Oryzias latipes: one gene and its partner. The protein of the gene in region 1 interacts with the protein of each later gene in a pairwise test. Links are inferred from orthologs where the notes say so. Each region holds a gene or a part of one and is shown on either strand. Other genes may lie near its edges. The genes, in order: kifap3 and ncf2.

Region 1 (4,381 bases):
CTGAAACCATTTTTCTGTACAAATTATGAGCTTGAGAACCTGAAGTGTTTGCAAACAAAAAGAAACTAAAAGCATCTCCTAGAACGTGCTCGGCCTAAATGTCTGACCTTTACCCTCCACCGGGGAGGACTTTCTGTTCTGCAGGTAGTAGAGGAGCTGCTCCACTTGTGGCAAACGGGAGGCAGGGAGGAGTTTGCACTCCTCCACCACTTTCTTAGCCAACGCTGCCACATCTGTGGTAGGAGAGAGGCTCTTCAAACGGATTCTAAATGGAGAGAAGGGCAAACATTGAAGCATCACAAATAACTGACTCCATCTATTATTTCCATTTGGAGAATGTAGAGGCTGATGCATTTAGAAGTAGCTAATTTTTCATTGTTAATCATTGCAAAAATGTATAACAATGCTAATCCAGTTTTGGTGGATACAACTTTTAAACAAATCCAAACTAACTTAACAAGTTAATCAATCCGTTTGATTTAAATATAGGAAAGATAACAAGAAACATACATTTTTTGTCCTTCTTTGCGTTCACCAAGCACAGGACCTCCACCACCTCCTAAGACAGCAGCCTGAACCTCGTAGTGAACAACCAGAGCCTTCTCTGTGGGATGGACATCCAGACTCCCTAACGTCACTTTGCTGGGGATCAAAATTGAACAAATATGAGGTCAAAATGTTAACAGTCTAAAATGTCTTGTGAAAAAAACAAACACATAATTATAATCTTTAATGACAGAGAACAAATAAACTCATCATCCTCTCCCTCCCTCTCACTCATGGTGCAGAGACTTAACCATAGTAGGACATAATAACTAGGCAAAACACAGTAAAACAGCTAAACAAATAAACAGCCTTGGTCAAAAACCCACACTTAAAACCAAATCCGTCCAGACAGGCAAAGGAAATGGTATCCCACAATCCCTTGCGGTGCCGCTCTAACAGCAGCATCAAAGTTACATCTACTTAATTGAATTAAATTGAATGAAAGTAAAATAAAAGTCTGATAACTACGTGTTATTTTTAAGCAGCCTTAACTAAAAAAAAGATTTATCTTAACTGAAGCAAATAATTAAGTTAGATCAATGTAAAAAAGTTTATCTTTCCTTTTTTATTAATTTCATTTCATTGTTTTTTTTCCAGTCTTGGATTGTTATTTTATTGCTATTTTTTATTATTGCTGCTTTCTTGCACTGTCATGCTAGTGAGAAACAACATCTCGTCTCATCTGTGTATTTCTCTGCAAATACTATATGTGGAATGACAATAAAACAAATCATGAATCTTGAACATCCATACATGGTCTTATCGCCCTCTCATGGTGGAAAAAGTATTATCTGAGCTTCTTCATCCACTAAATCATCTTCAAATGGACTCGCCATGCTCCTTCACCTCTCTGAAAACAAAGTAACCTTCAACTAAACCAGCTCCAGACCAGGTTATGTTCAGAGCAAGAGTTGCTATGGCAACTTGACATACCCTGAAACATACCTCCATTTTTGGAACTGAAAGATGAGGTTATCCGCTTCCTTAGCCTCAAACTTACCGTGGTAACTCGCATAACCTGCTTTCTGGAATGCCCCCCTTCACTGCTCAGTACCAGGTGCTTCTCTCTGAGTCACACTGGTTGAAATGTTAGCTGAAGATGTTCTGGATTGATTTTAGGTCAGTGAATAACATTGAATCAAATTGTTCAAAATGAAGCCAAATTGAAATCGATTGGCAAAAATACCGAATCGAATTGTTCAAATGAATCGTTACACCCCTAGTAGGTAGAGAGCCCTGCGAACAGAAACACAAACCGGGCGGGGTGAGTGTGGTAGTAGTGGATGGATCCACTGCAGTTCCACTGCAGGGAGACTGAAGGGAGATGGTTCCAAATGATCATTGAAAAAAGACTTGAACCATTAGCATGCCACCTTGATCCATCGCTCGGCCAACAGGAAAGTTGCTGACCCCAGCTGGGCAGTGATACTTTCCAGACCCAATTATCCAAAACTCCAATGTTTTACTTTGTGTTTCCTGTGGAACCACTGTTTCATGTGGCTGTTGCTGTTCCACTTTGGCAGTGGGGATAGCAGGACGGGCCATGATACCACGGCCTGGGTCTTATTTTGTATCTGCAAAGCCATGTGTCGTTATTTACTGCCCCTCCCAATATGATGATGTCAATCTTGTCGTACATTGCTGGACAACGGGAAAAGGATGGCCTATTGGAATCTCCATCGTCGACGTGTATCACAAACACTCGCGGACGCTGACTGTCTTATGACTGAAAACCAACAACCAGCTGTTGAAGCAGTAAAACAATACATATTATCTGTTGCCGTTTAAACTAGTCTCTCCATGTTTAGCTCATTAGCTAGGCTAGCAACCCCCTGATTTCCCATAAGCCCCTTCATTAAAAAAAAAAACCCTCAGGTAACAATTTAACATGCGTTTTGTTGTTGTTTTGTGCAAAGCAGCGACAGTCATCTTTAATTGCGAGATGTGGTGTACATTTAACAAAAAGAAAGCAAATAAATAACAGCACGCCTTTCTCTCCGTACCCATTAAGCAAAATATAAACGTGTTTGCTAGGCTATAGTCTTTCGTGAAGTGACGACTCTTGCGAATTACAAAAAACAAATACTTGCTGATATAATTAATCAATCACTTTTTCATTTAAATATTACAGAGCTCGTCTTCTTTCTTCTAGGCCTTGGTCGATGATCGATCGACAAAAAATAACTCATTCATTCTAACTCACCGTTTGAGGCAGCGCGTGTCTTCCTGCATTTTCTTGTAAATGTTAATTTACCCTTTTATTATTTCTATAGTTGTATCACATCTGATTGAGCTTACTCCGAAATCACAGCGGTTGCCCGTCACAGACTGTCAATGATAGCGGCAGTTAATACAATAATACAAAGCTAGAGGGTTAGCCGTCGGTGGGCAAATGGTGCCCTGAGTTATAACTTACAGGGGGAATGTAGACCCTAAGTAATGACTTTAAGGCAACATTTCAAATCCAAATCCTCACAGCTGGAAAAGAAATACGATCAGAAGCAGAAAGTAATGTGTAATAATACAATTTACACATACAATTGTATAGGGCACAGTTTAATGTCCACAACACAACTTGAGTCAGTAAAGGAGAGCTTTTTAAAATAATTCGAGCCGCTGTCGCAAATTTAATTGTAAGATACAATACTTTGTTCAGTCTCATTAAATCCCCCCTATATGTTATACTGTGCTTTGATAGATAGATAGATAGATAGATAGATAGATAGATAGATAGATAGATAGATAGATAGATAGATAGATAGATAGATAGATAGATAGATAGATAGATAGATAGATAGATAGATAGATAGATAGATAGATAGATAGATAGATAGATAGATAGATAGATAGATCTTTATCATTAATTGTCATACCTTAAAAACAACCCATGGTAAAGACCTACCACTTAAAATAAAAAGTAAAACATAGAAGTACATTGGGCAGTGCTTAAAACTTGAAATTAAACCAATTTGTTGCTTTATATGGACTACTGCTAAAAAAAAACATGATAGTCAATATGTGTTAAACTCAGATAATAATAATAATAATAATAATAATAATAATGAAGAAGAAAATGTCCGTTGTATCACAATTTAGCGGAAGTCCAGCTTAAATGTTTCCTAGCCACATTTAACATTTTTATGGATTATGTAAAAACTGTATTAGAGTCTTTTTGTCCTTACTCTGCTTGACCCATATATTTTTGGCACAAACAGAACTTAATATGTCTGGGGTGTGATGTGTCTCTAAAGATATTCTGCGCTCTGTTGAGGCAGCTGGAGCTGTGGAGAGTTTCCAGGTGGGGAGAGAGCAGTCAACAATCTTTTGGGCGGTGCTGATGACCGTTGGAGAGCTTTTCTTTGAGCCCCTGTGCAGCTGCTGAACCAAGTGCACATGTTCCAACCAAGTTCCTCCTTTTGTTCCAGATATACCACAAGCTCCTAAAGTGACAGTGACCTGAGGCTGTGGAGTCACAAGTGGCTCTTTAAAGCCTCTATTGTGGCTCTTTGGTTGAAGAAAAATAAAACTATTTTAATTTTAAAAAGGAATATACTTTTCAGACTATAAGACTCATTAAGCTAAACTAAACATGCAGACAAGTCCCACTTGATTGTTATAGGGCTTTTTGTCCTTTTAGCGAGCACCGATTAATGATTTGACTAGTTTTGGTATGAAAAAGTGAGAAAAAAGACAAAAAGAATCATCCCTCCACACAATGCCACACAGAAAGACAGACAAAGAAACTCTGGTCAAGACAATTTATTGGTGAGCTATGATATGACTTTAAAGCAGTGTTTTCATACAGGCTGCCCCACACTTGAGGATTTACTCCTAG
Region 2 (4,482 bases), on another chromosome or scaffold:
AGTGTGGGGTTCACCTTCCAAGGCTCTATGAAGAATAGACACACAAAGGGTATCGTAACACACGTGTCTTTTTGTCATTGAAGGAAGATGACGTTTAATTTGATGAAAATTAGAAAACCCTTTTACACGAAAGGACAAAGACATTCAGCAAAAAGATATTAAAAAACATTTTATCAATTTCTACTTGATAGATTTTTAAAAAAACTTGGGATGTACCTTAAAACTTCTGGTTCTCTTGGAGAAAGTGGACCATCTTCAACCTGTTTAGTGATTAAGAAGGAGATTATCCAGTCAGTCCCTGATTTACTGAGTCATACTGGTTCTTGAGGGCTCCAGTGTTTTCCCCAGTCCTGTCTAGTATACGGGATGTACACACAAAACTCACAAAAGGTAATCCTAATTTCAAATTAAATATAAAATTAAAAGGCATAAAATCTTTTATACATGGGCAATGTTTAAATGCACATCCAAAGATTCAAGAATTTTTTCACAACAGCCTGCCACAAATAAGATTTTGTTTACTGACTGTGTTTAAACCATGACTCAACCTCCTGATGTTCTGGTTCTGATGGAATGACAGATAGGGACTTGTATTTGTGACTTGGACTTGACTTGGACCAAAGTCTCACATGCAAATATTTGAATTTAACCTCCAGGTTTGGGACTTGTGAATAAATAATGTTTGTTAAAAAATTATCTTTAAGAAGCTTTGCCGAAACATAAACTGTCTGTTTTAATGTCCACAAAAATGTGATGACAATTTGTGTTAGTAGACTCTTCATTAAAATTCAAATTTGAGACTTGAAATGACAGACTTGAGACTTCAGAGTTGATTTGGACTTGGAAAAAAGGGACTTGTGACCTTCTCTGTCTTTTAAACAGCTTGAATAGCAGATGTGCTGACTTTCTGCTTACAGGTTATTCTGAAAAGTGATTGAGATACGGACGGATGGATGAATGGATACTTTTTCGATCCCGACAAGTTGTACTACACTTGTCACTGCTTTTAGCTTAGTGTCAATAAAAAATGTAGGAGGGAGAAACAAACATCGCATGCTTCTAAGGCTCATTTTCAAGCTGGAAGGTTGCGTGGACATTTCACAATTTTTCAGAATTTTTTGTTGCCTCATCACAGCATTTAGCAACGAAAAATACGAATCTCCGTCACCTGTGGCTGCAGAGGAGCAAATCCAGAAAAATCGTCTTGTGGATTGACAGAGGCAACAACCTGATCATCAAACAAACAATACACAGATTGTTAAGTTCACCCTCAAGATTTCCCAAATCATGTAAGATGATTTATTTCAATGAAAAAGATTTATTCTTACTTTGGCTTTGCCCAGGTAGTCTTTCTTCTCCAGCTCTGCAACGTAATGTTTATTTGGTTTAAACATCATTTTTGATGGGAACTCCACTAGTTTGAACAGCTTCTCCTTCTGTCAATGAAATCGCATCAAAAAGATGTCCTAAATCTGACATTTCAAAACCGCATTCTGTCCCTAAACTTTCCATGGAGGCACGGTTGGACCTGAACTTACTGGACAAATAAAGACATTATTTACTCTGACGAGATCCTTAGCAGAGATGAAACTGCAGATGTGTTTTGTTTAATAGTTTTTAAATGTGTGGATTAACATTTTAAAATATTTATTTATATTCCTGCTGAATCCCTTATAGGGGTCACAGGGCTGCTGGAGCCTATCCCAGTCGACTGTTAAAATTACTTTTTAGATCCCCCCCCCTCCATGTAAATTGGGCACTTTAAGAGAAACCCTCGTTTTTCATCAGATCAATGCTAACCAGGACTGCCTGCTGAGCTTTTTCGATGACACTGAGCTTGGCGTCTGTTTTGTAGTCAAGCGCCTTCCTGAGGTTTTGCTCAGCCTTTTCCCAGTTTCCCAGCTGAGCCTCAGCCAGGGCCATGTTGTGGAGAACCTTTGAAAGGAGAGATTTTATTTAGAGCTTTTCTCATGCAAACAGCAGAATTGGAAGGTGTTATGATTTAGTGATGATGTAGTAGATTGTGCCTAAGGTTGAAAACACCTACCTCACATGCATATAGAATATATCTGAGACCAAGGGCCTTGTAATCGATCAGGTTGTTTCCTCTTAGCGTTTTGAAGGCTCTCTGGAAGTCACCAATGCTCTCTTCGTACCTTTACAGATGTGTGATCAAATAAATTGCATAACAAATCAGTGAAAACTTGTGGTTTAGGTGCAAATACTTAACAGGTGTTCTGAATTTGGAATGAAATGGAAGGAAATTGGTCGTTGTTTGTAAAAAGCCGGTGTGTCTTACCTCATCTTCTTATAAAAGGTGATTCCTCTTTGAAAGAAAGCCACTGCCAAATGCTCATCCTTGCGAATGCTGCAATCGAACGCCTATGAAACAGCAGCAACTTCCTTTACAAAAACGCTTTCAGCACCACTTCTTGTTTCACTGCGACTCGCACTTACACTACAATCGAATTCAATCTCTGCCTCACCGGTTGCATCCAGATAACTGATGTTTTCAGATTTCTAGTTTTCTATTTTAGGAGCAAATTAATAGTTGAGAAATGCTTGACTTTACCTTTTCAGCATCATCCAAGTTCTGGTTAAGCAGATGCAGACAGCCGATGTTGAAACAAATCTTGGAGTTTGGCTCAGGAATGGCCAAGAGAATCCGGAGAGCTTCCGAAAAATCCTGTTTGTCAGCACAGGTTACGCCGTCATCCCACTGTCGCAGAGTGTCCACAAAAGACATTTTGGCTGCCGCTGAGACACAGTGACTGAATTGAGGAAGTTTCTCTGATTTATGCCATGAAAAACAGGAAGTTGATGACAACGTTCAATGAATTTGCATCAACGCCATGTGCTCTTGAGTCCAAGTCAATATAGTAAGAATCGTGGTTTGATCTGTGAATCGTTGATCTGAAAAAATTATGGGTGTTTAAATATTTACTGTAGTATTTTAAGAGTAAATAATGAAGTAAAGTGCAATAGTAGTACTCCCCACCTCATCATTATCTTTGGTTAATTTTATGATTTACATGGATTTGTATTAGCAATACCGTATTTTTTTCATTTTTTTTCATTTACTCATCACAAAGTCTACCTTAAGTTAAGATTTTCCAAAACTTCACTGATTAAAAATGAATTAATAAAAATTGTGTGAACCCATATATTTAGCCAAAACAAAAGAACAGGTTATTTTATTACCTCAATGTTTTTTAAATTTATTCTTTTATTTTATGTGCCTTAAGAGATAAATGAAAACTTATGAGTAATTAAAACATTATTTTAACATTATTTAGCAAAGTTTGAGGCTTAAATCTGGCATTACAGTCTGCAAAACAAAATAGAATGAAAAAACAAACAAAAAAAAAAGGTTACATCTCAGGTTTTAATAGACTTTTTCTTTAAGTTATATAGATTAGTGTAAACATTAACAAAGTTATAAGAAAATAAATTATTTTAGAGTTTTGATTTTTTTTCTCTTGTCCTTAAAATTGTTGAATTGTTGGCCAACACTCTTTAAAATTTTTCTTATTTCCCCAACCTTTTAGCGAGACAAAAATATACTTTCTGGTACTTATCTTGAATTAATTAAATGCATTTTCTTTAGTATGTAGTAAATAGTAAATACTTCTTCCATTCCATTAAAATCCAATTTCTACATCTGTTGGAACAAACACTTTTATTTCAAAAGCTAAGATGTAAAATTAGATAAGATATAAAATAGCTAAGCCATAAAGTTAGAAAATGTATCGATTGGTTATTACGAAATGATACGAAACTTCACAATTTTTGGAATATATTTTATTTACTAAAATAGATTTTTAATTTGTAATCCAGACTATTTTATCAGAAGGAGTTCAATTGTTTGTGAGAAGTAAAAAATAAATAAAAATAAGCAAAAAAACAAACAAAAGAAAACGCAGTGAAATTATTGAAGTGGTTATAAAAAATTAAACCTAATGGAAAAGCCTAAAGAATGCACTTTATTTGGCCTTTTCCCTTCTTTTGTTAATGTTTTATCACCTGCTATGTACTTGTATAATTTTGTTATAATTTGAGTTGTTGTTCCGGGATTTAAATCTTGTTATTCATCAATTTTAATTGGAGGGGGAAAAGGGAAAGGCTTTTATTTAATAAAAATAAAATTGTAGAAAGTGACGTATTTCCGTTAGAATAGTTAGCTTGATACTGCCGTCGCTACTAAACAAACATGGCTTGGCTACTTTTTCTAACAACGAACCTTTTGGATACGTAGGGAAACTTAGAGGGAACTATGCAGCTACGACTTGGGAACGTCATGTGCATGACACAACTGCATAGATGAAGAGCAGCTATAATTGTGTAGCTAGTTTGCTCGGGAAAGCTTTTTTGTGACCGTGTTTTGCACCAGTTAGCTCAAAAAGTGGCTAACTAACTTAAGCTAGCAAAATGGACCTTGGAACGATGTTGTACAATAACTTAAAGGATGTAACGTGGAGCACG

Evidence for each region.
Region 2: the proteins of kifap3 (region 1) and ncf2 interact in binary tests that used the Homo sapiens proteins (3 or more experiments, as listed by UniProt). The two-hybrid records come from large-scale screens. The link is inferred for Oryzias latipes from reciprocal best matches to the Homo sapiens genes KIFAP3 and NCF2.

Annotation. Positions count from the first base shown.
Region 1 is NC_019875.2:21,195,164-21,199,544, forward strand, and holds the start of kifap3 (kinesin-associated protein 3), read right to left. Parts: upstream 2,944-4,381; 5' UTR 2,779-2,943; coding exon 2,750-2,778; intron 643-2,749; coding exon 511-642; intron 266-510; coding exon 108-265; intron 1-107. UniProt on the Homo sapiens protein: Involved in tethering the chromosomes to the spindle pole and in chromosome movement. Binds to the tail domain of the KIF3A/KIF3B heterodimer to form a heterotrimeric KIF3 complex and may regulate the membrane binding of this complex.
Region 2 is NC_019878.2:10,710,515-10,714,996, forward strand, and holds the start of ncf2 (neutrophil cytosol factor 2), read right to left. Parts: upstream 2,977-4,482; 5' UTR 2,747-2,976; coding exon 2,573-2,746; intron 2,383-2,572; coding exon 2,300-2,382; intron 2,157-2,299; coding exon 2,048-2,156; intron 1,936-2,047; coding exon 1,801-1,935; intron 1,437-1,800; coding exon 1,329-1,436; intron 1,229-1,328; coding exon 1,169-1,228; intron 261-1,168; coding exon 217-260; intron 26-216; coding exon 1-25. Other genes in the region: garem1 (GRB2-associated and regulator of MAPK protein 1), read left to right, coding at 4,429-4,482. UniProt on the Homo sapiens protein: Subunit of the phagocyte NADPH oxidase complex that mediates the transfer of electrons from cytosolic NADPH to O2 to produce the superoxide anion (O2(-)).